Lepisosteus oculatus: one gene and its partners. The protein of the gene in region 3 interacts with the protein of the main gene of each other region in a pairwise test. Links are inferred from orthologs where the notes say so. Each region holds a gene or a part of one and is shown on either strand. Other genes may lie near its edges.

What was found. The genes of interacting proteins can lie anywhere in the genome.
Region 1: the proteins of ubiquitin-conjugating enzyme E2 N (region 3) and mid2 interact in a two-hybrid assay, tested with the Homo sapiens proteins (2 studies listed by BioGRID). The link is inferred for Lepisosteus oculatus from reciprocal best matches to the Homo sapiens genes UBE2N and MID2.
Region 2: the proteins of ubiquitin-conjugating enzyme E2 N (region 3) and trim32 interact in binary tests that used the Homo sapiens proteins (3 or more experiments, as listed by UniProt). The link is inferred for Lepisosteus oculatus from reciprocal best matches to the Homo sapiens genes UBE2N and TRIM32.
Region 4: the proteins of ubiquitin-conjugating enzyme E2 N (region 3) and znrf2a interact in a two-hybrid assay, tested with the Homo sapiens proteins (4 studies listed by BioGRID). The link is inferred for Lepisosteus oculatus from reciprocal best matches to the Homo sapiens genes UBE2N and ZNRF2.

Annotation. Positions count from the first base shown.
Region 1 is NC_090703.1:28,285,503-28,292,808, reverse strand, and holds the start of mid2 (probable E3 ubiquitin-protein ligase MID2), read left to right. Parts: upstream 1-4,285; 5' UTR 4,286-4,571; exon of another isoform or gene 4,572-4,575; intron 4,576-7,306. UniProt on the Homo sapiens protein: E3 ubiquitin ligase that plays a role in microtubule stabilization. Mediates the 'Lys-48'-linked polyubiquitination of LRRK2 to drive its localization to microtubules and its proteasomal degradation in neurons.
Region 2 is NC_090719.1:11,226,104-11,233,076, reverse strand, and holds the start of trim32 (E3 ubiquitin-protein ligase TRIM32), read left to right. Parts: upstream 1-3,952; 5' UTR 3,953-4,458; intron 4,459-5,988; 5' UTR 5,989-6,008; coding exon 6,009-6,973. UniProt on the Homo sapiens protein: E3 ubiquitin ligase that plays a role in various biological processes including neural stem cell differentiation, innate immunity, inflammatory resonse and autophagy.
Region 3 is NC_090702.1:52,389,828-52,397,222, reverse strand, and holds the start of ubiquitin-conjugating enzyme E2 N, read left to right. Parts: upstream 1-4,394; 5' UTR 4,395-4,425; coding exon 4,426-4,512; intron 4,513-7,395. Other genes in the region: mrpl42 (large ribosomal subunit protein mL42), read left to right, coding at 33-117, 1,122-1,285, 1,946-1,991. UniProt on the Homo sapiens protein: The UBE2V1-UBE2N and UBE2V2-UBE2N heterodimers catalyze the synthesis of non-canonical 'Lys-63'-linked polyubiquitin chains. This type of polyubiquitination does not lead to protein degradation by the proteasome.
Region 4 is NC_090705.1:41,643,884-41,651,355, reverse strand, and holds the start of znrf2a (E3 ubiquitin-protein ligase znrf2), read left to right. Parts: upstream 1-4,451; 5' UTR 4,452-5,204; coding exon 5,205-5,604; exon of another isoform or gene 5,605-5,765; intron 5,766-7,472. UniProt on the Homo sapiens protein: E3 ubiquitin-protein ligase that plays a role in the establishment and maintenance of neuronal transmission and plasticity. Ubiquitinates the Na(+)/K(+) ATPase alpha-1 subunit/ATP1A1 and thereby influences its endocytosis and/or degradation.

The sequences.
Region 1 (7,306 bases), on a different chromosome or scaffold from region 3:
AGTAAAATATGGTGGTGGTAGTGTGATGGTCTGGGGCTGTTTTGCTGCTTCAGGACCTGGAAGACTTGCTGTGGTAAATGGAACCATGAATTCTGCTGTCTACCAAAAAATCCTGAGGGAGAATGTCCGGCCATCTGTTCGTGACCTCAAGCTTAAGCGCACTCGGGTTCTGCAGCAGCACGATGATCCAAAACACACCAGCAAGTCCACCTCTGAATGGCTTAAGAAAACAAAATGAAGACTTTGGAGTGGCCTAGTCAAAGTCCTGACCTGAATCTGATTGAGATGTTGTGGCATGACCTTAAAAAAGCGGTTAAGGCTCGAAAACCCTCCAATGTGGCTGAATTACAACAATTCTGCAAAGATGAGTGGGCCAAAATTCCTCCACAGCACTGTAAAAGACTCATTGCCAGTTATTGCAAACGCTTGATTGCAGTTGTTGCTGCTAAGGGTGGCCCAACCAGTTATTAGGTTTAGGGGGCAATCACTTTTTCAGACAGGGCCATGTAGGTTTGAATTTTTTTTCCCCTTAATAATAAAAACCTTCATTTAAAAACTGCATTTTGTGTTTACTTGTGTTATCTTTGTCTAATATTTCAATTTGTTTGATGATCTTTCAGTGGGAACATTTCAGTGGGAAAAAACACTTTTTCACACCACTGTATGTGTATAATATATTTAAGGATCAAATACATGTAGATAATGTAATGACTTCAGGTTCACTCAGGATAAATGACAAGAGGAGACGGTGTAGGCACACAAGCACCTGCTTTTATTTCCTTTTACACAACAAAGACAAAAATACAGGATTTACATACAGATTAGGGGACAGACGGTACATGTTAGGGTGGTAACTGTTTAACTGACTCTACAAACTTAACTTATGGAACACTAAGCTTCAGAGAACACGTTAGCTAACGCAGGTCTATTCACATAGCAGGGTCAGTTGCTGGTCATCTTATGGACCCCCAGACATCCCCTGGCTACAACTCCCAGCTGGTGAGGCAATACCCTCAGCAACTTGGTGCACTTCCTCCTCACCACCGGGCAAGGGCGCTACACTTCCCCCACTTGACTCATACCAGGCTGTACTCATAGTCAGCTAATGGCTGTGGAACCCTGTGTGAGCGGCCGCTGCACCGCAGAGCGGATTCCCCATAGTCAGCCTCCCTGCCGACCTAGTAGGGTACCAGGTGGTCTCGGTGTAGGACCACCACTCTCCCCCGCTTTCGCAACCGGACACGGTGACAAACCTTGCCCACTACCCCTAGGATCTCAGCGGGTCACTCCCAGGACAGTGCCACCCCGGACTGGAAGGCAGGCCCCCTGCAGAGCAGATCGTAGTGCCACTTTTGCCAGATCCCTGCCTGAGTCAGGTGAGTTCGAGCAAAGCTGTGCACTCGCCACATCCACTGCTGCAGGTCCCACATCGGTCTGGCCGGCAGTGCTAGCCCATCTCAGGGCGGGGGAATCAAAGGCCAGATCACATCTCCTGGCCCAGCATGAGCGAGGCCATGGTGCACCAGGTAGATTTCTGGACCGCAGTCCGGTACGACTAGAGCACAAGGGGGAGGTGGCGGTCCCATTCCTACTGATGCTGGGACACCAGGGTGACCAGCTGGGTGGCAAGCATCCAGTTGAACCGCTCCAGCAGCACATCACTCTGGGGATGCAGTGGGGTGGTCTGTGTCATAGAGATCCCCAGGTGCTGGCACACCCTGGCAAAGACCTAGGACTAGGAAAGTTACACCCCTGGTCACTGTATAACTCCTCTGGTACCCCCAGCCTGGCAAACATCCCTCCAGTGAAACATCGGCAACCGTAGGGGCACTTTGGTCTGGGAAGGCATAGGCCTTAGGCCTCTTGGTGAATAGTCCACTTTCACCAGGACGTAGCAGTTCTCGCACTCAGTGCATGGAAACGGGCCCAAAATATCCACCCCTACTCGCTTTATCGGAGCCCCCACCTGGTGTTGTTGGAGGGGGGCCCCCACTTGCTGCAGCAGGTCCAACCCCAGGATGCAGTCCTCTTGAATGGGTGCTAGGTAGCAAGGGGGGCACACTGTCGCTGCACCCAGACGGATGGAGAGTGTCTGTTTGCCCCGGATCGCGGCAAGCTGTCCTGTCATGGTCCTCAGCCGCAGGTCGGTGGCCTCCCATCCTGGGGGATTGGTGCCCTCGGTGTCGGGGAAGATGCCAGGCCGGGGTAGGGTTACCGATGAACTGGTGTAAAGCAGGGCCAGGCAGTGCTGGTCCTCGATCTGGCAGTGGAGGTACAGGCCCCAGCTTCATTCTACATGCCCCATGGTGGTGTACGGGGCACCAGTCTTCGCGGTGCTCTCTGAATCGGGGGTTGAGGTCTTCAGGGGTGGCCGTCCCTATGCTGAGCTATCCTGCTCCCATTTCCTGACGCCGACCTCGGAGTGCAAAGCTCTGGGGCCCGGTGTCCCCTCTTCACACAGTATCGACAAAACAGCTGCGGGGCTGCTCTGCGGGGGTTACTGCACGAGCTGGCTCCTCTTCCCCCTCACTGGACTCCTCTGTCGCTGCCTCGGTAAGCCAGCAGGGCACACTCCATCTGCTGGTGCTGCCAGCCCCACCGAACACGGCCAGCTGTAAGTGGGGCTGCAGCTTTTCGGGTAAGAGGGCCTTGAGAAAGGCCTGGAGAGCCATTTCCAGCTGCGTCTCCCGGGGGAATGCTGGGTATCCTCGGCAGGTGAGGAAGAAGACATCAGCTACGACCGAGCCCACTTGCTTTCCCAGTCAGCGCCGCCACAGGGTCAGCCTCTCCTGTATCAGGTCCGGTGCCTCCTCCACCCCGAAGCGTAGCTGGAGAGCGTTGCATAGTCAACCCCCCTCCTTCTCTGGGAAATCCAGGAGCACCTGGCAGGCTGCTCTTTCCAGCGCCGCCGCCAGCTCCGTCTCGGCCCGCAAGCTGGAACTGTGCCTCATACGTCTCCCATGACGCTTCCCCATCAAAGCGACTGGGTTGTACCCACACCGGAAGGTGCAGGAACAGCTGGCCAGCCCCTGAGGAAAGCGCATCCCCTCTCTGCAGTGTCTGCTGGACAGGAGTAGTGGGGATTCACTCCGCTTCCCCAGGCGGGGCCACTACTGGGCAGCCCTTGCAAGGGCTGTGGCCAACCGTTGCACCCAGGAGTTGCTCAGGCTCCAGGTGTTCGCTGATGCTGGGTCCGGTCTCTTTTAGGGTCTGCTGGCGCTTGACAGAGTCTGCTTACATCTGCCACGGGTTGTCCATCCTGCTCGCTTCTGACACCAATTGTAACGACTACAGGTTCACTCAGGATAAAGGACAAGAGGAGATGGTGTAGGCACACAAGCACCTACTTTTATTTTTTTTTCACAATAAAAACCAAAAACTAGGATTTACACACACACATTAGGGGACTGATGGTACACATACACAGGTTAGGGTGGTAACTCTTTAACGGACTCTACACAATTAACTTATGGAACACTAAACTTCAGAGAACACTTTAGTTAACACATGTCTATTTAAATAGCAGGATCATTTGCTGGTCATCTTACGACAATTCCCGGCTACAGCTCCCAGCCAGTGCTGTGATATCCTCAGTAACTGGGAGCACTTCCTCCTCACCACCGGGCGAGGCTGCCACAATAATAACTATTGCAGTACTGTTATGTACTGTACACTAATAATTCAAGGTACTGTGATTGTTTCACTTGATCCAGCAGCATGAATGAATAGCTCTTATATTTACTGGGGGGTTGTGCATTGTAGGTTTAGGACTAAACCGGGGCATTCTTTTGCTCTTCAGCCTGCTTACCACTACAGAAACCCTGAGTAAGTTCTGGCCCTATAGAACACTTACTTTTGTGAAGGTTTGAATAAAACAAAGGTTATCTGATTAGCATTGTTTTGCAATGCATTCGTTTTGCATCCAACTGCGTTTTGCAATGCGATGAAACCAAGCACTGTGTGCAAATAATTGTTAGAGTTCATACATCACTGTTTTGAATATATGTCAGTTTTACTAATAGATGACCTTCATTGTAATTATTTTTCCCGGTTATTTTTAATGTCGTTGAGTCGTGTTTTTAACGTAGTCTAAATGGTTGTTCACGAAAGACGACTAGTTATAGCTTTCATTATTCTGAATATTACGAATGGTGTATTCTTTGCTCATAATTCTCCATTACTAATTAACTTTTGAGTCTTTAACAACCTGACATTTACATTTATGAAGGGGATAGGACTTCCATCCTTCCCTCTTCGGAGAGTAGAGCAGCTTATGCGCCAGCTCTGTCGCCTTTGCTTTTCCTTTTGCATGGGTGGGAGGAGCCGGTTTCCTGCGATTGTCTGTCTCTTTTTTTTTCTCTGAAGTTGCATATTCAAAACCTTAGCCTTTTCACTGAGCAGCCAGTGTTTGTGCTGCTAACCAGCAGATCAGCAGTCAGATTTGTTCTTGCTACGCCACACGGAGACTGCGTTTGTGTTGCTTTCCTTCCTGGCTAGGAGCTCTCCTTCACTGCGTTTTTCTCCAGGCTTCAAAGATGACAGGGGAAAGGATTGTTTGGCATAGTAAGCTGGTAGGTGACTGTTAGCCCTCCCTTCAGTGTGTGTCTCTTCTTAGTGTTTCTGGTTCGTGTCAACACTCTTTTCCTGAGAAAAGCCAAGAGAGAGTGAAGCAAAGCCAGACGTTTAGATGACTGCGTAACCAGTGAAAGAGTATACCAAATACTGGAGCAATTCAAAGCATATTTCGGTTCTGATAATATACGAGGAAAATAATCATATATTATGTACTATATATACGATATATAGCATGTACTATAAAAATGCCAAGCATTGCTTGATTACCTGAAGACAGACTTACATTTACTGAACTTTTTCTTTCATTCTGTAATGCATTCTGTCGATAATTTTCTAGATTTTGGGTGTCTATAGGACTGGTAACAATGTAAATTATTTTTTGGGTTGGTTTGCAATGTCTTTTTCCTTAGCGATGTTTAATGTTTAGCACTTCTAAATGTTAACATTTAACTGCACGAAAATAGAATTATAGTAACTTGTTCACGTTTATAAATAATAACTGAAAAAAACTGCTGGGTGTAGGTGGGTTTTAAGGCAAATGCACGGCTTTATCATGAGACGAGGTGATTGTGTTGGTGTAGATTTTCTGTAATCGCCTGTACGCCCAGATGTGTTCCACCTTTGTGCCTCTGAGAAATTGTAGTATCAAAGCTACGGTTTTTGAAAATGATGTCGCTGGTGTTTTGTTCACTTCATTATAAAGGTAATGGCAAAGGATACATATATTTATTTCCTCCCAGAAAAGACTTGCAGATTTCTGTCAGTGATTACACCGATGTAAAGTAAATTATATAAACATACAGTATCAGTGTTTTCGTGTGACAATTACAATAATGGCTGTATGATATTGTGAACATTTTATATTTAGCATTCACTCTTGACGCGGTCTCGGTTTTCATATTTTTCCTTTTAAAACACCCTTTAGATTTTATGTAATTAATTTTTATTTAATAATCGAATAACGTTATAAGACGGCAATGATCTTGTTAACATTTGTGGTAAAATAAATTGGTTCATTTTGTTCCCGTAACAAGTTTCTGGAGGTTAAGTGTTTAATTGTTAAGGACTTTAATAAAGATTAAACATTAAGAAAAATCAGTACTTGAATTAGTTCATCATGATCAACTTGAGATCGAAACATTTTAAACGAGTGACATACTAAAACGAATAACAAAATTGAATGACCATAGACTATAATGGGGAAAAAATAATTTAATAGGCTATAAGCCTTAACAGAAATAAAACCATGATTATCTTTGCTATTAAGTATTCCAATACTTAGAAAATCCTAACTAAATAAAAAATTGATTGATTGATTGTTCTTTTCTAATGAATGACAAGGGAAACAAAAAAACATGAAAAAGTTAACCTTTTGAATAAAAAAATCATATACAGAAAAAAATAATATTCTTACTCAAATTGCATGTTCATAAATATATTTTCTATGAAATATCCTAATGTAGAAATAGTTATTTTCTATGGAATGATGGGTATTTAAAAAATATGTGTAAATGGAGATGGAAACAATGCTGAAAATATCTGGAACCATCCAGATTCTGAATTCCATTAATATTAATTTTTTGAAACAAATGTTTCTTGAATAAGAAGACCTTTATTTTTTATTTAAAAATTTAAAGCTATTAATGACATAATGGTTACTACCGAGTGCCTGTTTTTTTCTGTGCAATAAATTATTCCAACAAGGAAGATAAAGGTCTGTCCAAATAATAAGACTTATATAACAAAAGACATTAACATGCCACAAATATGAGGAAGCTTGCTTTTAAGAATAAAGATGTTGATGAAATAAAACAAGACTAAAAAATAACAAATGGAGAATCTTAGGCAAAGCACGCATTTAAGCAGCATTTGGAGGATGTTTTTTTTTTAAAGCTAATAGCTGTAGAAGACTCTGGGAAAGAGTATGGCAGGAATGTCTGCACTCAGGAAGCTGATTGTGAATAGTAAGTTATGAATGCTTTTCTGTCAGGGTGTCTCGGAGCAGGTAGTTGTCCGAGGATCCTATGCATAGCTGTGAGCTCTGCCGGTTTAAGAGGTAAACAATCCAAAATCGTAATCCAAAAAGTGAGATCAAAAGGGAAAAGTCAAATCCAAAAGCCGAGTAAGCCAACAAGAAAATACCGTGCACTAGAAAACTTAAGAGGCCTTACAATAGTGAGCGGGGTTTGGTGAAGGAACTTTAAATACTGAAGGGAGAGGAACATGGTTGTGTAATGGGTTCAGGAGTGAGAATCTGTGGAATCTGGTGCCTGTGAGAATGTGATTGGTTCAGTTAGGAGTGAGAGCATGAAACAGTGCGTTTGGGAATGTAGTGGGGTTTGCGAGGGCGAGTGCGGGATGTGACAGTATCCCCTTTTAGGGTCGGCTCCTGATGACCCCATTGAGCGTTCATGGAAGAAGTCATCAATGAGGCCATGATCCAAAATATCTCCCTCGTAAACCCATGAACGCTCCTCAGGGCTATAGCCCTCCCAGTCGACAAGAAACTGCCCTCGGCCCCGGAGCCAGTGGGTATCCAGGATCTTGTTAACTGTGTAAGAACGTAGGCCGTCAATGATTTGTGGAGGAGGTCGAGGTTGGGAGAGGGGAGATCTGTGGTAGGGTTTCAAGAGAGAAACGTGGAAGGAGGGATGCACCCTGACAGTTGGAGGGAGGGCAAGACGATAGGTGACAGGGGTGATCTGGGAAAGGATGTGGAAGGGTCCAATAT
Region 2 (6,973 bases), on a different chromosome or scaffold from region 3:
TAACAAAAATTAAATCCAATATCCATTTGCTTGGGAATGAGGCTCCCACATAGCTGAAATAAATCCAAAATGTAATGTTTGACCAAGAATGACACGAGATATTTAGTACTAAACATCGTTTCAATGTTTCTTCTGCAGTAGGCACTGTTTTGGGAGGGGTAGAGAGGTGTAGGGGCAGGTGCTTTTAAGGGATTTTTTAAAACCTTCACTTTTGTCTAAAATAATTTAAAAAAATGTACCTGGGGTAGAACTAGCTCTTCTGCTTGAGAAAAAGACTAATGTATCTACTGTATGTTGACACTTCAGTTTCATTTTTTAGATAATGTGGGCAATACAAATGGGAAACATAATGTTAGGATATATAATATAATTATATATAGAAAGTGTAGAATTTAAAGTTCAATTATGTTAAAAATTGCACAATATTGATCACTATGTTACCAAAATAATCTTGCTGCTCTGGAATAAGTATACAGTATAGAAGAGAGACCGGTTACATTCTCAGGCTCGAAGAGAGCAATAAGGAATGCCCTCTTCTGATATGCTAAAAACTTTTTTTTTTCAGTTTCGGATGGACAAAGGACACAAGTGGATTCATCTGAACGCTTCAAAATCCTCAAAAACACTGACAAAGTCAACACTTTGGGCTTCTTCAACAGTAAAAATATGAACCAAAGGGAAAACATTAGAAACTATGGGGATGTACTTTTGCACAAACATTGTTGTAGTAGTACAGAATAAACTACCCAGTAATTCTGTCAAATCTAATACCTTGGCTTCTTTAAAGAAGAGGCTGGATGAGATCTTTGGATTACTTAGCTAATATTGACCAAACTATGCATATTGTATCTTTCTAGCAAGGTCTAGCTGTAAACCCATCTTGAAAAGCATACAGATAGAAAGACCTTTATAATATCTCTCTTCCTTTATATACTATATGTTATTCTTGGTGTATCTATACATTTTGGAGATTCATAATTTTGTATAATTTTTACCAGAAAGATTTTTTTTTCTGTTAATATCTGAAATGTAAATCCAAGTAGGAAATCCCATTAGGTCTTTATAAATGACTCTTGACGTCTACAGTCTGTAGTAAACCTCATTTTGCAACTCTGGAATGTGCTCGGAATCAGTGGTCGCCAAAATTGTGTTTTGCCCTTGACGATGCCCTCTACATTTCTGCTTTCACTTTCAAATGACGCATATAGAAATACTGCTCGCCCACCTCCAAAGTTTCTGTTAGCCCTGAAAGAGTTTTGAGTACCTTATAAATGGGATTACATTTCATTTAGCATACAGTTTGTACTTTTCTTTGAGAATACTCTTTCATTTTCCATTTTAAAAAGTGGCATTTAATGTGAATCAAACAGAATGAGGTACAGTAATATTCATAATTCAACTGAAACAGCTTTATTTCCTAATAGTAACTCTTGGTATGAAAAAAAATTTTTCCTATTTTCACAGCTGTTGACCTCTGAGGGCACAGTCCAGCTGAATTTTACCAAAACAGTAGGACTGTATGCAATGATCCATTAACTCCAGGGCAAACAGATTATTGAAAAAAAAGATAATGACCAAGGAGTAGGATATTTGTCTGGGTTACAGCCCAGCAAATCCAACAAAGCCAAGTAGGTCAATTTCAGAAAGTCTGTCTAATTTCATAACTTAATTTGTCTGAAACATTAAAACATTTCAGCTGGAGCATAAACTTCAGGATGTTTTTGAATCCTCTCCACCAATCGAGAAGCAGGGATTCACTACTCTACTCTATAGGCTACTCACACATGCTGACCAGCACAACTTTCTGTGAAAGAGAGAAAAAGCAAAGTAAAAAACGCAGAACACAGATTGTAATCAGTTAGCTATAATCCCGACGTGTATGGTAAGTGTAGCCTAGCACTGGCTGGGGTAAACACAAGCCAGATACCCTACAAGGAAAATGAGTAAACTGATAAGCGAGATATTTGGTAAGGTCAAGTTAAAAGGGAATGGGATTTTATTATTTTCAATAATTTCAATAAATATTGAGCATGTTTTTGTTTTTACATAAACCTCCAATTAAACCAAGCCCTGTTTCTCCCCAATAAAGCTTGTGCCAGCATTGAATTGGGCACCATCTGCTTATGACTGATAAATGCCCTTTCCACAGCTATCCTGGCTTATTCATGCTCAGGAGCCCATGCTTCTTCTAAAGGGCATCTGGCAAGACTGAAGGAGAGACGCAGCTCTCACAGACTCCTCTGCAATCTCCCGGGCCCCCTACAGGTCACAGATTGTGCAAGTGTCACAACCCCGAAGAAATAAGGCACTATATCTCGGGGGGAAAAGCAGCACAAATGCTGCTACTTTCAATGGCACTGACCAGCAAACCATCATTATTTGTGCTGTTTGCGGTGGTGTCAAGTTAACAGAGCTGTTACAGTCAGCTAATCGAGTATACTGGACTAGAACTAAAGATGTCTGGACTGTAGGTCTCAGGATGCAATCTAAGCAGTCATTTTTATAATAAAGATTAATAATACATTTAATTTGATATGGTACTTTTTTTAGTACATTTTACTGGCTGCGTTACTCAGAAGCTACACATGCTGTCATTTTAAATACACTGTTTTCGCTCAGATGAACTCATCTGGATGATATGGTATTCAGTAATTCTCATGAGGAATTCATGAGCAGGATCTACACCAATGGACAACAAATCCCATACACAGCCTTTGTCACCTAACCCAAAGCATTTTTTCAACTTCATTAGACATAAATCTTGTATTATAACCTGAAAGTACACACTGCTACATGGGAATGATCAGTTTGATGACTGAATACAATACAATCACGTGCTCAAAACGCACCAGTTCCACAAAAACAAGGCAAATACACTAAATAATTCCTTTTAACACGCATACAAATCAATGCAAAAATGTGTATACTACCAATAGGTCCCACATTACAATTGTACAGCTTGCCGTTATGTCTAAAAAGCTACAAATCCGCGATTTGCTATGTTAAGTACTCCTATCAATTCGTTCCAACAGACGCTAATATCTCAATCTCTTATTACGGCTGCAAGACTGTATGCTACCAAAATATGTGCTCCTACCGCCATCTAGTGACAACACGTTATATTGGCTTTAAAATACCTAAAAACGTACTGTACTTTGAATTCAAAATACACGGGGCAACCTCAAAATGTCAATGATACAGATTAAAGACAAATCGCGAAGGGCAATATTTCGTCCATTTTTTTTTTATTCCAAAGGGAATCTGATGTGTTACAGCATTATGTAAAAGGCTCACTGCATATCATTGGCTTCCCACCATTGCTTAATTTCCTTCAACGGACGAATTACTTTTCTCTTAAACCCATGCATTTACCTTCAGAATACCTGTACGTGTGTGTCCTGTCATTCGTTGCGTCGAGTCTGTCCTCAAACTCTTCCCACAAACAAAACAGGTGTCATGGCTAAATTCCACTCTGGACCTTCTGTCTGAGGTTTTCCTTAATTTAATTAATTACAGCTGGGGGGAGGCCATTCTGTGTTCCTACAGTTCAACCCGTTGGGTAAGAAAGTGCTTCCTATCCTCGGAAATACACTTACATGCTACAGTACGTATTTTACTTCTCGGTTTTTCACCGTTCGTTCTGAAAAGTCCACCGGGTTGAGTTTGTTAACGCCTTTGGGGATTTTGAACACCTATAAGATCCATTTGTATTTTTTTTTTTTTGTGGGACTGCAGAATGTAGCACAAATGAGCCAGGTGGTTGCTGCACTTCAGTGGTGAATAAAATCGGTCTCATCCTACCTATGAAGTATTTCAGGATTCTTTGGGATGAAAAGCGTTATTCTGTACTAATGCAAATACAATGAATACGTTAAGTCGTCACCTCATCAAGAAAAAAAGACTTGCAAAACTCTGAAACTCTCTCTTTTGTTTTCCTTTTCCAGCTGAGCTACAAGTTACTTAAACACCAACCTGAACCAGCTGCACCTGTTTACGAGCTGGAAGAGGTCGAGAACGGTCTGACACTGGAAAATGTCCCTTGTGAATTTAAGGTAAGTAATCGAGAACTCAGCTAGAACAAAAAAAAAACAGACAACCGAAGGATGTGCTCTGGACATATTTATATATGAAACATCTAAAAGCAGTGTCAAGTAAATTCTCGGTGTGGGGGAAAAACAGAAAGTCTGGGACCCGAGGAATTCCTCACAAGGAACTTCAAATCCCAGGAAGTCGCACTGTGACTGCTGTTGACAATTGCTCTCTCCTGCTTCATTGATGCTTGACGCCGCCAATCGTCTTGAGAAACGGGTCGCACTGCGTACGGAGAGGCCAATGAAATACCTCTGAAGGAGGGAATAAAGTTTCAGGAGACGTCACAGCCCGAGCCGCAGTCTTGCCTGGCACAACCGGGAGCGGGGTTTTCGGCCTGGGGATCTGACATTGGCACGGAAAGTGCAGGTAAGAGCACAACCAGCTCCCCAGCTGTGTAGCATCTCCATTTCGTTAATGCAACCCGCTTTGCGGAAGCAGCCGGGGTATGTGTGCTTTCTGTGCTGTAAAGATGATACTGCCGTCAGAGGCCTCCTAAGCAAGGTGTCGCTTACTGCTTCTTGGCACAGAAGGCACACGATCCCAGTTACTGTACGATTAAGTCGAAACATCGTTTCATGCAAATACCTCGCTAGTTTATCGGTAAATTAACACCGGCGTGGATTCGCCGCTGTTTGCACTAGAATTGCTGTTTTGTCGCTAGTGGACGTCATGGTTTTATTTGCACCATCAACACCTTTGGTTTCGTATTTATCTTACTTTGTTTTGGTTTTTTTTTTGCTTGCGACTACCCCTTTCTACAAATCCGTGCACTATCCCTAAATCCTCTTCTTAAATGACAATATTAGACGTTAATATACTTTAAAACGGAATGCTCCAGAATTGCTTAAAATATCCGCAGCTTTTGAGCGATTCATCCCGCCTATTGCGTCTTTCTTTAAAGACATTTAACTGATATAGCCATTGATATGCTTTTTCGTTGGTGCAGTCGCTGTACCCTCATTATCACAAAATCATTCTGGTTGGCATTTTTCAGCAGCGTAATTTAAAGGGGCACTGCAGGCAGTCAGGGTGGTGCAGACAGTCACTAGACTAAGCCCCTACCCTCTTGCTAATATAGCTGCAGTCCAGCCTAGAAGAGTCTGAAGTATTCAGGTTTACGGCCTTTTGATTAAAGTGCTGTCCACTGCAGTAGTCGCACCGCGCAAATACAGACTGGTCTGGACCAAGGTACGAAACATAAGAAAGGATATGAAGGAGGAGGCAATTCGGTACATGTAGCCCGTTTAGTTGTTGGTAGTTGCTATCATTCCTGCAGTCTCCACTTTGCATGAGCACTAGGTACTTTGGAATTTTAAAAAAGCTGAGAAAGTATGGGGCTTGAGAGCGATTTTTACAATGTAAGTCAGTTCTTTGAGCCTGAATTTACCCATCTCATTTTGAATAGTGGTTGATTTAAGTATTTAAAATCTGCGAAGGCAGAGCAGAATCAACCTTGCAGGTTTCTTCAGAATCTACAGAGGCTATGAGCGGGGAGCTATTGTATGTGCAGGTGCGTTTAAGACAGAATGGGGAATCATTCTTTTTACAAAGGGATGTGGGAATGTGGAACAAGCTGCTCAAGCAAACAATCTGGTTTTTTCTTTTGCAAGAAAAGGCTGTAGGAAATCTTTGGATAATTTAGCTACAGAAAAACGAAACAAGCAAAATGGGCCTCCTCTTGTGTAAACCATGCTTAATGCTACTCTTAGGAACATTACAAAACGCATCAGTTCATTATACAGAAGTGCATCGTAGTCTCCTTCCAAGTTTAAAAGATACAAATGCATTACCAAAACAGGACGATTTATTCCACAGTGCAGTGCATTTATTATTGAGTTCCATCAGATCACAGACGGGGAAATTATGCTTTATCTCATTTGCTCCTCTCCTCGCCAGGTGGAATTGGCTACAGGATCATGGCCTCGGCTGCCACTTTGGACCCAGACGTGGTGAGAGAGGTCTTGGAGTGCCCCATCTGCCTGGAGACCTTCAACCGGGAGCAGCTGCGCCCCAAACTCCTGCAGTGCGGCCACACGGTTTGCAGGCTCTGCCTGGAGAAGCTGCTGGCGAGCACCATCAACGGGGTGCGCTGCCCCTTCTGCAGCAAAGTCTCCCGCATGAGCAGCATCTCCCAGCTGGCGGACAACTTGACCGTGCTGAAAATCATCGACTGCGCCAGCTCCGGCTCGGCGACCAGCCTGATGTGCAAAGGCTGCAAGAACCGGCTGCCCAGGCAGTACTGCAAGGACTGCGGCCTGGTGCTCTGCGATGCCTGTAAAGCAGAAGGGCACCAGCACCAAGGGCACATAGTCCTGACTGTCCGCTCAGCTGCAGAGCAGCGGAGGAAAGAGGTGGGCGCCAAGCTCGCCATCTTGCGGGAGACGATGGGGAATATCCAGAAGAAAAAGGCCATGATCGACGGCATCTCGAAGTCCCTGCGGCTGAAATACAAGGCCGTGCAGCAGGAGTACGCCAAAGCGGAGCTCAGGCTCCAGGAGGAGCTGACGAAGTCCCGTAAGGCCTTCGCCTCCTCGCTGAGCGAAATCGAAAAGCTCAACACCCAGATCCTGGAGGAGCACACCTACCTGCTGAACATCGCCGAGGTCCAGGTGGTGTCCCGCTGCGACTATCTCACGATGAAGATCAAGCAGGCTGACATCGCTCTGCTGGAGGAGGCCGGCGACGACGAGGAGCTGGACTTGAAAAGCAACCTGCCCGCGCTTTTGAAGCTGCAGGATCCGGAGCTGGCGAAGGTCGAACGTTCGGAGCCTCTGGACGTGGGGCAGGTGGTGAGCAAGCAGTGTACCGTCGACACAGACGAAGGCTCCCATGACATAGCTGCGCTGTCGCTGGATGTGTACCGTGACGTCGACATGGCGAC
Region 3 (7,395 bases):
TTTATTTATTTATTTTATTCCATTGCTCACAGCAAAGTGGACCTTGCCTTGACATCAGATGGCAGAACCATAGTGTGTTACCACCCTGCAGTGGACGTCCCCTACGAACACACCCAGGTACACCCTGCAGGACATCACCTTCATCATAATAGCAAATCGCGTTACAGGCAGATTGCAACAGAAGGTTTTCAGATCCAGTCAGAGCACCAGCTTGGTGTTTTTCTAGGTGCATTTGTGTCTTATGCACTTACTGTAGGACAGCACCATATCTGATCACCTTCCACCACAATATCAAGACCCACATTGTAGCATTTACTTTTAGATCGTATTCCTTACTGTTGTGATTTCTGTCTTGATTGATTATGCTGATTGATATTTTTCTTCTAAAGTTAATTGACAGTTTTGAATGTAACCTTGTATACAGCTGACGGTTAAATTAAGTAACATCATCAAGTGAGTGAATTCTATTTAAGCACCGTATCACCTTTGGCGCGAGGTCGCTTTTGGTAGTGGATCTTACCATGGTCCTAGGTTTGCGGGTGCCTGTCATGTCATTTGGTTTTGTTAAATTTTCTTGCATCGGGTGGTAAGCTCATTTCAATTATAGAACATTTCCAGGCATGACTTAAATTTGGTATTAAATTTAAATTTAAAATTAATAGCACCCCAGAGTCATGCAATGCAAAGTGCAGCTTCTTGCAATCTGCTGATGCCCAGTCTTCAGCATTAGAAGGCCGGTACCACAGGAAGCAGCTCTAGTAGTGAAAGTGAAACGTGGTCTCTCACTCCTTTCCTGAGATCATTGTTCTGGGGCTGGTCTGCGAGTTACCAGTTTTAGCCAGGGTGGAAAAGAAATGCTCCTTGTAAATTGTAATGCACAACTATGGCCTGTTGGAACGTTATTTTGCAACATTAGCTTCTTCTCAACACTTATGGAATGGAATCTAGATTAAAATCATTTGGGAAATGGCCGCACTGTTGCATTTGTTTGTCTAGAGCACGATGTGTGTCTAGCTCTTTTTCTTTAAATAAGAACGGGTTGTGAAAATGAATACCTCCCAGTGCAATTTAAGCGAATTTTGCTCTTCACAAAACGTCATTGTTTATTATTCCTGGTCTAGCCTATCCCTCAACCAGACCCCCTGAACAGACCTGAGGAAACACATGATCAGGTTCTGAAGGCTCACTTGAATAAAGAAGTTTTGCGAAATAAACAGGCGCCCACCATTGAAGAGCTGAGCAAGATGTTCTACACCACTAAACACCGCTGGTACCCAGTAGGACAGTAAGTACAATATCCTGTAAAGGCCTGAAAAGAATTGCACACTGTTTTAGTTTTTTATTGCTGTGTGCTGTTAGTGTGATATGCTGGTTGCAGAATTAAGGTTAAAATGTACAGTATGCAACAAAGTAGATCATAGTAGATCACAACCTATACATCTGTATGCCTTATGGGGGTGTGGCAATTTCTGATAAATTACATGACGTAATTGCATGTCAGTATAATACTATATTTTTTGTTTTTATATACTATTAATTTTTACACAAAAGATAATCTCTAATGTAGGCTCCCATATTTTTCAGAGTTATTTTAATTTTTATATATAGAATTATTTATTTCTTCCAGTTAATAAAGTACACAGAACTACACATTTAAGTATTGTGTTTTTTGCGTCTGCCTGTGGTATGAAAATTTGAGTAGAAAAATTGTGTGGCAGTCCAACCTTTTTATTTGAAGGGCCCAGTTCCACAAAATGTATATTTTAACTTGGATGGAGAAAGTGATAAAATAGACCTATTCCTCAAATTTGTTTTTAACTCAGTTCAGTCAGATTAAGTGATTTACTTTGATGGATTAATTCTGACAAACAGATTCATGGTGTAGCTGCTGAGTGAGATATTGCACAGAGACCAATTTCTGAAATTTATTTTTATTTCCTCTCAGGTACCACAGGCGACGTAAAAAGACTGACCCTCCCAGAGACAGATAGTCTTGAACACAGCTGACATTCAAGAAATGGTGACATTGTGCTGTCTGTGAAGATGTTTGAAGTCCTCGAATAAAAACTGCAGTTCTAATTGCTTTACTGTATGTTTTGCAAATGATTTTGAGTGCTGTCCTGAAGATCCTTTGAAAATATGTCCATTCTCTAGGTCATGAAAGTAACAAGAACATTCATTTGACACTCATTTAACAGCTGTTAAAAGGCACACAACATTGGAACCACAAACAATGAAGCTAGGATATTTTAAAATATTATAAGGAAACTTATAATTTCCTTCTAATTCTTCTGTAATATACTGTACATAACATGGAATTAGTACTACTGACCTTCTTTGAACTATTATTATTTCTCATTCCTGTGCAAAATCCTATTTTAGATACGAAATGAATGGAATACCTCAAGTTATGAGCCACCTCTTGTTATGATGACATATGTGAATTCAGAAAAATATCTGATCACTTTCCAAAGCAACTTACGTGATTTTTTGTGAAATGTGTGACTGCAGTTCAGTGAGATCTCACAAAGTGGTAGTAAATGATTACCAACACGTGCTTATACATAAATGACTTGGCTGAGCTCTGCAATGTGATTCTTTACTACACAATGGTGGATTGTTTATTTATTTTATATATATATGTAGCAGTGGTTAGAGGTCTAGATGGTGAAATTCACATTGTAGCTTCAAATATGATTCAAGACACTGCTGTTGGACTATTTATTAAGCTGTTTCACCCAAAATACTTCAGTTTTATACTCTGCTGTATGAATGGATACATGTGCAAGTCATTTTAGATTAAAGGCAGCCAAGTAAATATTTATCTGATCCCTCCTTTAAATACGTACACTGGCCAAAATACTGATTTTCCTGATTTGATCTGACTGGTTCAAGTGCACTTCAAGTTCAATGAGCTGTTACAAAATTGTTGTGGTTGTCTGAAAGATTTAAGCTTAAGATATATATGGTTTAGTTAATTGTAAGCATCTACAGTCTTTCTGTCCCTCAGCATCACAGTGTATAGCCTACTCAGGCAGTGCAATATAGTTGCTATATACTTGAAAAACACCAAAATCGTTCCTTGACAGCATATAAATAACATGCCAATCGAATTAAGAGTACTTAAGTTTTAGACATTTGACCAAAAAAAAGGTCTAGAAGAGAAATCTGAGAATTCCTTACCCCCATCTGAAAAAATTGCGAGATATACTTGCTCTGAAACTGTTTTTGTTTACAGGAGCCAAAGTATTGGTGGCAGTCTCTCGCAGATAAAACTAGAAAACTTCTGAGAGGATAAGTGCACTTTATAAAATGTTCAGAGGAGAATGGCATGCGGTTGAGAAAAGGAATGTAAGGACAGTGTGACCGGGTGAAGAAAGGATTTTAGAAATGTCAGGAGAGAGATGGAAATGAAAAATGGAATTGAGGCTGAATGTAAATGTTTATTTTTCTAGCATGACAACAGAAAATTAACTGGCTCTGAGGGAACGGAAAGTTTTAAATGAGGGAAGAGAAAAGGCTGATGTATTAAAGGAATATTTAAGTCGAGGAATTTTAGTCTTTTAAGTGGAAGCACTTTAAAAAAATCTCTTTTACCCACTGTACTCAAGAAGAAACACAAGCTGATATTTGCAGGCCATCAACAAAACTTAAGTCCATCTCTCAAGGGTCATACTTATTTTATAACCCCCATCCATTAAAAGGAAGAAAGACATAATGTGATAAAACTGTACATAGGTTCAAATAATTACCTAATAATTACTGCCAAATATATACATATGATGAAAAACTGATTAAAAATGAAAAAATATTTCTATATGAAGCCAGTTTACAAACTAGTTCAAGTAGGTAGCTGCGTCAGCTGCAAAGAAATAAAGGTTTATTCCATGCTGAGAAGAGAAGGAGACACAACGTTGCGTTTTATATTATTATTTAATGTAAATAATATTAATTATATTATTTATATTAATTATTAATTATATTATTTATATTAAGATTATGATCTAGCAGATATTTTGTGCTGCAATTATATTCCTTATAAGGAATAATATTCTGTATTATTCCTTATATGCCGTGGCTGTAGTGGTAACTATAAAACTGCCTTTTTGCGGGGAAATTCTAAGACGTCAACATAAGTGATGAATATTAGCTTTCACATCACAGAAGTCCTCTAAACGTCAGTTATTGATGTGCATTTTGGGTCCGTTTAATGCATTATATGGTAGTTAACAGTTGTAGCTCGGCGTGGAGTACGGGAGTGATCCACCTAGGCGTCTGTCGGGACGTGTAGTTCATTTCATTTGACGTCTCCCGGCGTGTACGTAGCCGCTCAGCCCCCGGACAACTACATTACCCGGCATGCATGCGGGGAGGCAGTGCTGGCATTCACCGGAAGAGCCGTGCGACTGCGCCCTAGCGCCGTGAATGCAAGTGAGAGGAGAAGCAGCGAGAGAGTCAGAGCTGAAACCGCATTACGACAAGATGGCAGGACTGCCCCGCAGGATCATCAAGGTAAGCCGCTACAGCTTTCTGCACTAAACCGTAGCGTACTGGCAGCTCTCTTGCCCCAAGGGGGGACGGGAAAATAGTGAGCAAGCGGCTCCCGCACGGCTAAGTAGTCTTGCAATACGAGTATTTTCCCCGGCTACTTCCGCTTATTCTCTGCTCCAAGCCCGAGTGCCCGACTGAGGCTGGGTTAAAAATACCTCCTCCCTGGTTAAAGATGGCGGAGAATCGGGGCCCTTGTCGTCTTACGAAGGACTGTTGGCGGTTTAAAATGAGCGGAACCGGGTTTTTTTTCTCGCAGCAGCAGATCAGACCTCCCACTCCCCGCTCCCCGAGCCGTGCAGGCAAGCGCCATGTGTAGGCCATCTGAAAATGTCATCGAGAGCTGCCGTGGAAAAAGAGAGGCGGGGGGGTGGGTGACTTGAGCAGCCGTTTAGCAGTCGGGCGTGGAGGGGTATTTGATCTGATCGCGCCCCGAGATGTTTGCCAGCCGCTCCCGGCGGGTCGTGTTTGCAATCGGGAGGGGAGGGAGGCGGAAGAGGGGACAGGCCGGCGCTCGGGTCCCGCTCCTCCGCCTGCGCAGGGCTTCCCCTCCAGGGCTAAGGCCTCGGTCATGGGCGGGATCTCGCCGCGCAGGGCCCATAGAAATGAATGAGATGGGAGAAGCGAGTTTTCGGAGATGGGTGTGAGGGGAGGGCAGGGCAGGGCGGGGGTCAGCACGCCGCGGCTGCCGGTGCTGGGAGGACATTTCGCCCGGGCCTTGCCGATCCGAGCTGCTTCGTGACGATCTTTATCGTCGCGGCCTTTTGTTGGAGGCACTGCCGTGACGCTTGTGGCGAAAAAAAAAAAGGGTGGGGGTGAAATGACGCTAGCGCCTACCCGAATCGGGTCTGGTGCCGCATCAGGATGGTTTAGCTAGTGGGTAGTGGGTGCAGCGCGCTGGAGAAGCGTCTAAGAATGCCCCTCTAGCGACGTGAATTTCAGCACCGTGTAGAGCACTCCTACGTTTCATCTGGTAGAAAGACGTGGGTGTTAAAAAAACGCAGCAGGACCCCTATAGCTGCCGAGGAACGTTTCATTTTAATTTCTCGAGGAGGGTGTTCAGCTCGCCTCGGCCCGTCCAGGCGGTCTGGTTGCTGCTAGCAAATTAATCCGGGGCTTTCGGACCTGTTGTTGGAAGAACAAGCAGCTCCTTTTAATCAGGGCTGAGAGTAATTCGTTTTCTTTTTCAGATTTAAAAGCCCTTCACATGCGCATAAAGCACTGAACTCTGTAGCTGTAGACGAAATTCTAATGTGTGCGGTCTCTTCATGGGTACTAGCAGGTGATCATGGGTTTCATATAAAATCTTCCATCATAACACAATTCCAGGAAGTGAGGCAGCAAATGCAGTTCAGTTTCTCTCTCGTTGTAAATAGTTCATTGTCCCCAACAGTGCCAGTATGCTTAATAATGTGAAACCTGGATTTGTTTTATACTATTCAGCTCTTGTGCAATTGGTATTCTGCTACCGCATCGAAGAGTGCTCAGTGAAAAGCTGGTTGTGTTGGCAGATTTGTAAGCGTTGCGTTTGCTTATTGAGGCACGTAGTGATTGTTTTTTTTTAGGTCTGGCAGAGTGAGGAGGTGTGGTTTTGTTGACTTAGCCCTTGTAGATGGCATCAGTTGTCTCTTCCTGTGTAGAATGGAATACGTGTACAGAAAACCTAACTCCTTCACAATTATCTTCACTTTGAGTTCCATTTATCCCACTGCGTTATCTGATGCAGGGTCACACGGACGCCAGAACCATCTCCCGGAGTAAATTAAGGGAAATGGTGTTTCTTAGATGCTGAGTTGCATGACTTTCTGTGCTGTTCTGCTGAAGGAAATTATATTTGCAGATCTGACAATCACGCAATGTGTGCTTGCTGGTTAGAGCCAATTCACAGTGGAACTAACTGAATATCACCGTAAGACCATTTCATTACAGAAAGCCTTGAGGTATAGTTTTGGATTAAAGGGAGTTAAATCCAGGAAAGGTGAAAAATCCGGGCTAGGTAATGTTTACTCCCTTAAATACTTAATTTTAACTTGCATTTAGAAACCACAGAAGGTTCTGGATTTTATATTGAATTAGAATAGAAAATCTGAGACAAGGCTTGAAATCTGTTATTGTGGTATGTGAATCACTGCCTCTTTGTGTTGAAAATGACTGATGTACAGCAGTTAAGCACTGCAGTGCTCTTTAGTGCAGAGAGGGCTTACAGATTCTTGTGCAATGCATTTAATGAAATGTGTTGGCTGATCATGAAGTACAGGTTTTTACTGTGCAACATCCCTACTTGGTGTGAGTCGCTATTAGTTGTTGGGGTCTTTAATTTTATTCCTAAATAACTCCAAAAAAGGTGTGAGACCAGGTGCATTGGGAGGCAGGTAGAATGATTCTACAGCATCATAGTGAGGGAGTGTCCCTAAGCATGAGATTTTTTAAAGTTGTTTGAAGTATTTTGTGTCTTTTTTGGGAAATTTTTTTACATATTTTTGTGATGTCCGCCCACCCGATTTGCAATTGACAGTTGTGCTTTCAAGTCTCAGCTTACAGCTATGAGCCTTGCAGCCATACCCAAGAATGAGGAAATGCTGCCAGACTCCCACAGCCCACCTGCTTTCAAGCTGTTCATATTTTTACACCTCGCAGGCTATGCAGCCTCGTTCAGGAAGTTCAGCATTGGTTGGAGGAGAGGTGCACCCCTCTATGACATCACTTCCGATCTGCAGGTGCCCAGGAGGTTCACAGAGGTCACTTTGAGCTGAGAGAGTCCTGGCCTGACTAACTCCCACCATATCTCTGGCACCTCTTGGCCAGTTTAGCACTGGGCTAGTGACATGACCCAGGTTGGAACAAGTG
Region 4 (7,472 bases), on a different chromosome or scaffold from region 3:
TCTGTCCTGCTATTATCAAAGCATTGTACCAGACATCTGGTGTGACGTGAGGCCCATACACCTGCGTAGCTGGGGATGAGTGGTAGCTGGTATCATGGCCTTTGCGCACAGAAATAAGGATCTTTGTCACTTTTAAAGTTATCATCAAAAATTGCCGCTATCTATAACACGATGAATCACACTCCCCAATAAAGAATTAGCCATTCATTAATATACAAAGAACCATTGCATCTTATACCGTCACCCTTTCTGAATTGCTAGCTTCTACGTGTTCTGTATTCGCTTGGCCCTCATGGATTCTCTGTTCCAGCTTGTTGTTATTTTCCAAGGTGACTCATCCACTCTGACAGAGTTTTTTTTCCTGTTTTTTTTTCTGGGATAGCGAAGCCAAAGAGTGATTTCTGCAAAGAAGGAGAAAACAAGAGACGCACAGGGCATATCAAGCAATGGATATAAATGAAAGAAGAATATGAGATCAGCAGAGGGCTGGTAAAGAATAATACCTTTCAGCTGTAGTTTTTCACGGTGGCCTGGTGCAGCGCTCTCAGGAATGCCTGACACATATTCTTCCAGTTCGTCGTTCCAGCACTTGTTACAGACTAGAAATCCTCACACCCTCACAGTGTACTCAGCACAGACCCCAGAGCTCTAAGGCAGACTGGAAATGGAGAGCAGGTAGATAGGGCACAACAATAGCAGCTCCAGTTTTCAGTTCTAACTGCCTGTCCATGTGCTTTCCCTGGTGTCTCACTGTTCACTCTGAAGAAATGGGCTTTGTCCCGGCCGTGGAGGATTTTGAATATTTGTAGCAGCAATCTTAGTTAAAGACTAAACTGGCCCAGTTCTTTCAGCCTGTCGGTGTAGGAGTTTCCCTCACACCCCAGAAAGCACCTGGGTGCTCTTCTCCTGACCTATTTACAGAGCAGCATAATATTATCAATAAAGCAGCGGCCAAAACTGTGTACAGTATTCTTAACGAGACCTTACTAGTGCGTTAGTAAAGTAGTTATGCACTATAGCAGTACAACTCTAACAGCGACAATCCTAATACAGATTATTATGGTACTCCGCTAATTACATTGCCCGCCAGTGGAGTAATCACACGTCATATCTGTACTGTTCTCTAGTAATTAGCCAGTTCAAAACCTGAAAAATGTATTATGTTAGATAAACATGGTCTGCAATTTGCGAATTGCTCTTCAAACAACTTGGAAAAATCTGCACAGCCCGCAGTGTGTGCTCTGTGGGACTTGTCCACTTCCTTCAGCCTGTCAGTGTAGGACTTTAATTGAAGCCCCAGAATCCCTCGGGGTTCTCTTCTCTAGACTAATTCTAGACCAGAATCCCTTGATTCAAGTTCTACACTTTTAGCTATACTGTACATTGCAGCACTTTGTTTCCATGTGTCATTGCCTCCCCACATTGTCTGGAATTTGTACAGTAAGTGACCAGCTAAGTCTTTTTCATAAGCAGCCTCCTCTGGCTCAGCATTTGCTATGACATATTTACAGTTTATGTTTTCACAACCTGCAGGCATAACTAAGCAGCTGTTTACATTAAACATCATCTGCCAGGTGTTGGCCAAGTCTTGAATTTTATTTTATTTTTAAAAAATTTGATTTACTACTTCTACTGTGTTTTCTGATCCTCCTAGTTTGGTATCATCTGTAAATGTGGGCGAGTTTACTAACTATACTGGACCTGAATCTAGATATCAGTTAAGAAGATCAGTGTTTCTAGTACAGACCCTTGTGGTACGCCACTAATGACATAATTCATATCTATTGTGTATGATCTGTAATTGTCTGCAAGCCCACACTAAAAACCCACTACAAACTCACAGCTGCTGCAGTCAGTTGGAGGGGAGCTGCAGGACACTGACAGAAATGTAGCTGTCAGCTTCCTGCTGTACTTGACACAGTTGACATTTAAGGTCTCTTGAGCTCAGGCTGGTACAATTTTACACATCAGAAGAGCAGTGTCCCTATTGATAACACGCAGTGCCAGCCGAGATTCTGGAAACGCTCCTGCTCTTGAATTTGAAGGCTTTTTTCGAGAATAACAACACACCATCTTACTCTTTACCAACAACTCATACATTTCAGGATACAGGCCCTTTATCAATAGAATTGAGTCTGGGTGTCCCTGTTCAATGGATACTAAATTCAATTACTTTGTGATCAGAGTATAATCCCTGAAGCCCAATCACATCAGTCCTCTAGATCTCCTCAGAGAACATGGATTAAAAACTTGTAACTAGAACAGAGTATTCCATTCTATTGAGAGGTGGTAAGGAAGAACATTACCACCTCTTAACCAGTACCTTAAAACAATCTAAAACACTGATCCTTAAACCGTAAACCTTTTGAGGCATTTCATTAATAAATCAGTGCACCCACATCAAGAATATTTTTGCTGGAGTTATAAGTACCTTTTTTTTGTACAGCATGAAGAATTTTCCTTATTCATTGTTTTCATCGTTTGGAAATGAGTTTGGAATCAAAAGAACAGACTTTCTTTCAGTGTTCTTTCAATACAGTGTGAATTGCTGTCTGTAGGTTCACAATACTTTTCTGTTTTAAGCAAATACAGGAGATGGACAATGCTATATTGTTGCATTCAGTGTGCTCACAGCAATAATCATTTTTCACATTTGTGTCGGAACTTTGCGCTGTTTGAAGTCAGTGATAGCTGTTGCCCTTTCCTTATGCGGACTATATTTTTTAAAGCACAGTAAGGATCCTATCAATGTATAAATTCACAAACAATGTGTTTCCACACAAAATCCATACATGAATTACTGAAAAATGACTGAATGTGTTATTCTTATTAACATTAGTTATTGTTTGATTAATTCTTGTGTATTTTGTTCAGCTCTTCACAGTGCACATATTATAATGTGACTCTCTGTTGTTTCTACTTGTACAGGTATCCATGTAGAATAAAAACCCTGCTAAAACACATATTATAACAAAGGTCATACATATTATGCTACACAAGCCACATTATGTTTCTGGAAACGAACAGTTTTTCTCATAGCCCAGGTTCTTTAACCATGAATATCTTCATTCAAGGCTATAACTGCTAACCAGTAAGAAACCAGACAAGATTTCTCAAAACTGTTTATAAGAGAGAGAAGAGGGAGAGGAAGCAATGAAGAGCCTAGAGGAACACAACTAGTGGTGCACATTCCCCTGCAGCTCTCTAGACATACAGCCCTTCCTATTTCCTCAGTGTACAAAATAGATCTCAGTGTATTCTATTTTATTTAACTTTATGTAACCAAAAAGGAATACACAAAATACTGTGAAACAAGTCACACCAACAACTAACTGCAAACCCTAAACAGTGAGTGAAATTACAGTCAAGAACCAATGCCCCAGGAGAGCTCTGAGACATGCGTCAAAATTGAACCTCGTGCCACAGGCAAAGTGTTTCTATGCTTCTGCTTTGTGCAAGAGAAGGCCCATAGAGACTTCATGAGTGCGACTCAGTCGTTGCTGCATTCAGCAAAACATCGCTCAAGCCTCATCTGCGATTCCTACAGGCTGTAGGTGCTCCACTCTTTAAAAAGGCAGCAATCAAAAGGAAAGCCTCTCAGAGGCTCCCATTTCAATTGATTCAGTTTTAATTCATGGGAAGTTTCCGTGCTGCTCACATCTGCTCACTTGCTTGTGCTGGAATATAATGTAACTACTGTATATGGAATATCTTAAAATTAACTAACCATGTTTTATTGTTTAATGACACAATGAGAACAAAACTGACTCATGTTTGTGTGGTTTAAACAATACACATTTTCAAATTCAAATGTTATGGTTGTTGGTTACAATTATTAAGGGGTTTACTGTTAAATACGGGTTAAATTCATCTTTCAAACTACTTCCCCAGTGACACAGATCGGTCCCCACCAGCCTGCCCATCTGCAGACTTGAAAGTGTGTCTTATTGAAGAGAGTCTGATTTCATGGCTTAGTGACCTGAGATTCTCAGAGATATGGTTCCTGACCTGTTGCTTCTGTCTGTCTCGAACTTACTGTATGTTATTTTCAAGAGGTGACAGACAGCAAGCTTTGTGCTGAGAAGAAATGAAGAGGCTGTAGTTTGTAAAAGGTGGCTTACGTCATTTTCATTCGTGCCTGTTTTGTGTAAACAAAAGACCTTTTGTTAACTTTTCCTCCACGTAATGGCTTAACAGATCGTCTCAGCTAGTTCAAACTGCTCTGTGACATGCTCTAAGGCTTCCTGCTGCATGTTGTGCATGAAAAAGTACCGGCCAGTACCGTAACTTGGCAGCTAAAAAGCGTAAGATAAGGGTCCTTTTTTCCACGGGGCCACCTGGCGAGAGGGGCAGCTCATTCCCGTCCGTGGGGCGCGACAGATACAGCAGCCCCGCCCCCGGATCACGCGTGTCCCCAGCCCGGTGCCATGGCAGCGGTGGCCGGCGGTTTCCGGGTGGGCAGTGCCCCGGCGGTGCCGACGTCGCCTGACGCACAAAGGGCAGGGCCGCCGCGTCCTCTCCCTCCCTCCATGACCGTCTCTGCTCTCGGTCCTCCCGCCTCCCTCGTCACCCCACCCCACCCCTCTCTCTCTGTGCGTGCGTGTGTGTGTGTGTATCGGCGGCCGCCTCTCCGGCTCCCTTCCCCGGCGAGGCAGACGAGGCATGGCGGCGGAGACGGGCACGGCAGCCAGCGCCAACTCCAGCACAGCAGCGAGCAGCGGGGGCCGGGCGGCCCGGAGCGCACACGCACGGTGTCGGGGAATAATCGCCGTGGCACATTTCTTTTGAACATTTCTTCTTGGGGTTTTTTTTTCCCCCCTTCGTTGTCGCCGTTGTTGTATGATGCTCTTGTTTTGACATATCCCGGCAGGGGGGAGTTTCTTACCTGACGTTTTTCCTCCCCCTTTTTGTTTTAATTTCACCATCAGCCAACAACCCCCTCCACCGGCCCCCTTAACTCCTGGCGGTGCCAGGCAGCCTCGGGGGTTGTTGTTATTGTGTTTTTCTCCTTTTTTTTGTGTGGTGTTACTATTAACATTTCCCTCACTGCCTTGCCCGGGCTCTGGATTGCTCTCCCGGCGCACACAGCCGGGGGGGAACTCCTCTCAGTTGGCTGGACAGCTTGTGAGTGCCCCCTCCCTCCCCTGCAACACCTCCGCTCAAGACTTCATCATCAGTCCCCGGGCTGGACTGGTAGCTGACAGATGGGAGCGAAACAGAGCAGCCCGGCGGCCAACGGGCGGACCAGGGCTTACTCGGGCTCGGATTTGCCCTCGGGCACCTCGGCCGGGCCCGGGCACGGCAGGACGCCGGCGCTGAGGTACGGTTACGAGCCCGCCTCCGCACACGGGGCCTCGGGAGCCGCCGCCGCCGCGGCTCAGCCGCTCGGCCCCAGGACGAGGTCGGTGGGCGGCGGCGGAGCGGGGTCAGGGACCGGGAGCAGGCCCCAGTCGCTGAACCAAGCCGGCCTGAACATCCCCAGCAGCGGCTCCCAGGAGTCCGGCAGCAGCACCCCGGAGGACGGCGGCACCGGCGGCGGTCACGGCGCGCCGCGGCTGCTCATCGGCTCGCTGCCGTCTCACCTTTCGCCGCATCTCTTCGGAGGTAAGAGCAGAGCCGGGTTGTGTCTCGACAGCAACACATTTCCACCGGAGTCTGCCTGCCTGCCTGTGTGTGTGTGTAGCGCCTCAGTACCAGCTGCACTTGTGCAACGTGTTGTTTGTTTTATACCGTGCGTAACTGCGCAGGGAAAACTGTTGGTGAACTGGAAGTTAGTGCGCATAGTGTTTCGCGTACGAACTTGACCTTTAGTTTTACTCCACAGTTTTATCAGCTGGCCTGGGCCTGTGTGTGGGGGGGTTATGTCAACAGTGCACGAATTATTGCGAGCTGGGGGGGGGGGCACCCAACTGGAAATTTCTGGTTGATATTGGATTGATAAGGGAGCGGACAAAAAAAAAACCTGTTCACTTCTGAGGGCTGAGATTGATCATGCGTCCCGGTGGTTGGTTGTCTTCAAAGACAACAGCGAACACGCACAAACACCCAACATCAAAACGGTGTTGGTTTCCCCACCAGGTGTGTAGCTTAGCCCCCTTCAGCCCCGGCCGTAAAAAAAAAGGGAGGTCGTGCCTTTCATCTTCTGTCATTCCTCTCGAAAGGACGCGACCTCGAGCAAAACCGCACGGCTCCTGTTTTGATCAAACTCGAGAGCCCTGAGCCCCCTGTCACAATAAACAGGCACACCCCCTCCTGCTCTGATCGGGAAGGAGCCAGCTGAGACGGAGCAGAAAGCTGGTGGGCGTGAGGAAACTCGTGTGCATCAGGTGGGGGGGTTGACGGCCGTGTGGAAAGTACCGTCTTCGGCTGGAGCAGGAGTCCCAGACTGAAACTGGTTGACAGCCGATTTCCAGCAAGACTGGAAGCAGGAGCGGGTGGGTGGGTGCTGGTGGTGGTTTCTGTAAGTTGGCCCTGTTGCCAGTCTGCGTGCCCGACCTGCGTCCCCACAGATGTGGGTTTGTGCAAGGAGATGGGGTTTGCTCCCAGACACACGCAGGGGGGGTCGACGTGCTAGCTGGAACTGCCCTTTTCCAGGGGAGATTCCCAGGGATTTCCTACTGTGCCGGCTGTGGGGGTGTGAAAAAGATTGCGATGAGCCATGTGGTTTGCTTTCCTCTGTGTCCGTGCTGTTGTTCTGAATGTGTAACATAGTAGTCGCGGAAGAAATCTATCTTTAAGTTGAGGTTGCAACATAATTACGATCCAGAGAAAGTTGTTTATACTGCCCTAAGCCAGAGTTTAATTATTGGCACCGTTTACTTCTGGGTTTAATATTGTGAGATATGATATGTGGCGTTACACCATTCGTGTGATTCGGAATTAATTTTATTTGATCGTTTATTAAACGTTTACAAACGGAAGAGTCTTTCAAATGACAGCTGATCCACAGCCCTCAGTAAAGAATTGGTATCAGACGTTGCGTTAAGCCTACAGGAGCTGACAGCATATTTGGAAGTAGTCATCCTCCTATAGGAGTTCCATAGACTTAAAACGTCAAAATGCAACAATAGTGATGAGATACATTATTACTGATATGCATTTTTAATGCTCCTTGTGGGTAACCCATTACGAGAAAGTTGTATTATTTTGAATTGATTTAACGTGCATTGCATTTTTATTTAGAGTAAATTTCTTTCAGTTGTTACGGGATTATAAAAGGATTCCAAATTGAGTAAAGGTTTTGGTGATTTCCTTCAAAATGTGACTAAAGCACGCAAATGAATGCAGCAATTTAAAATATGGCCAGGTAACTTTGATTTATCTGTCTGATTGGTGTTCGGTGCCTGGCATTAGTTTGGTCTTGGAGTTGAGCAGATTACTTCAAAAAGGCTTTAAAATAATATAATTCCTTTCGGCTTCTAAATAGTCAGATTCATGCGCTAAAGGATTACTCTCAAGTGGGATATACAACC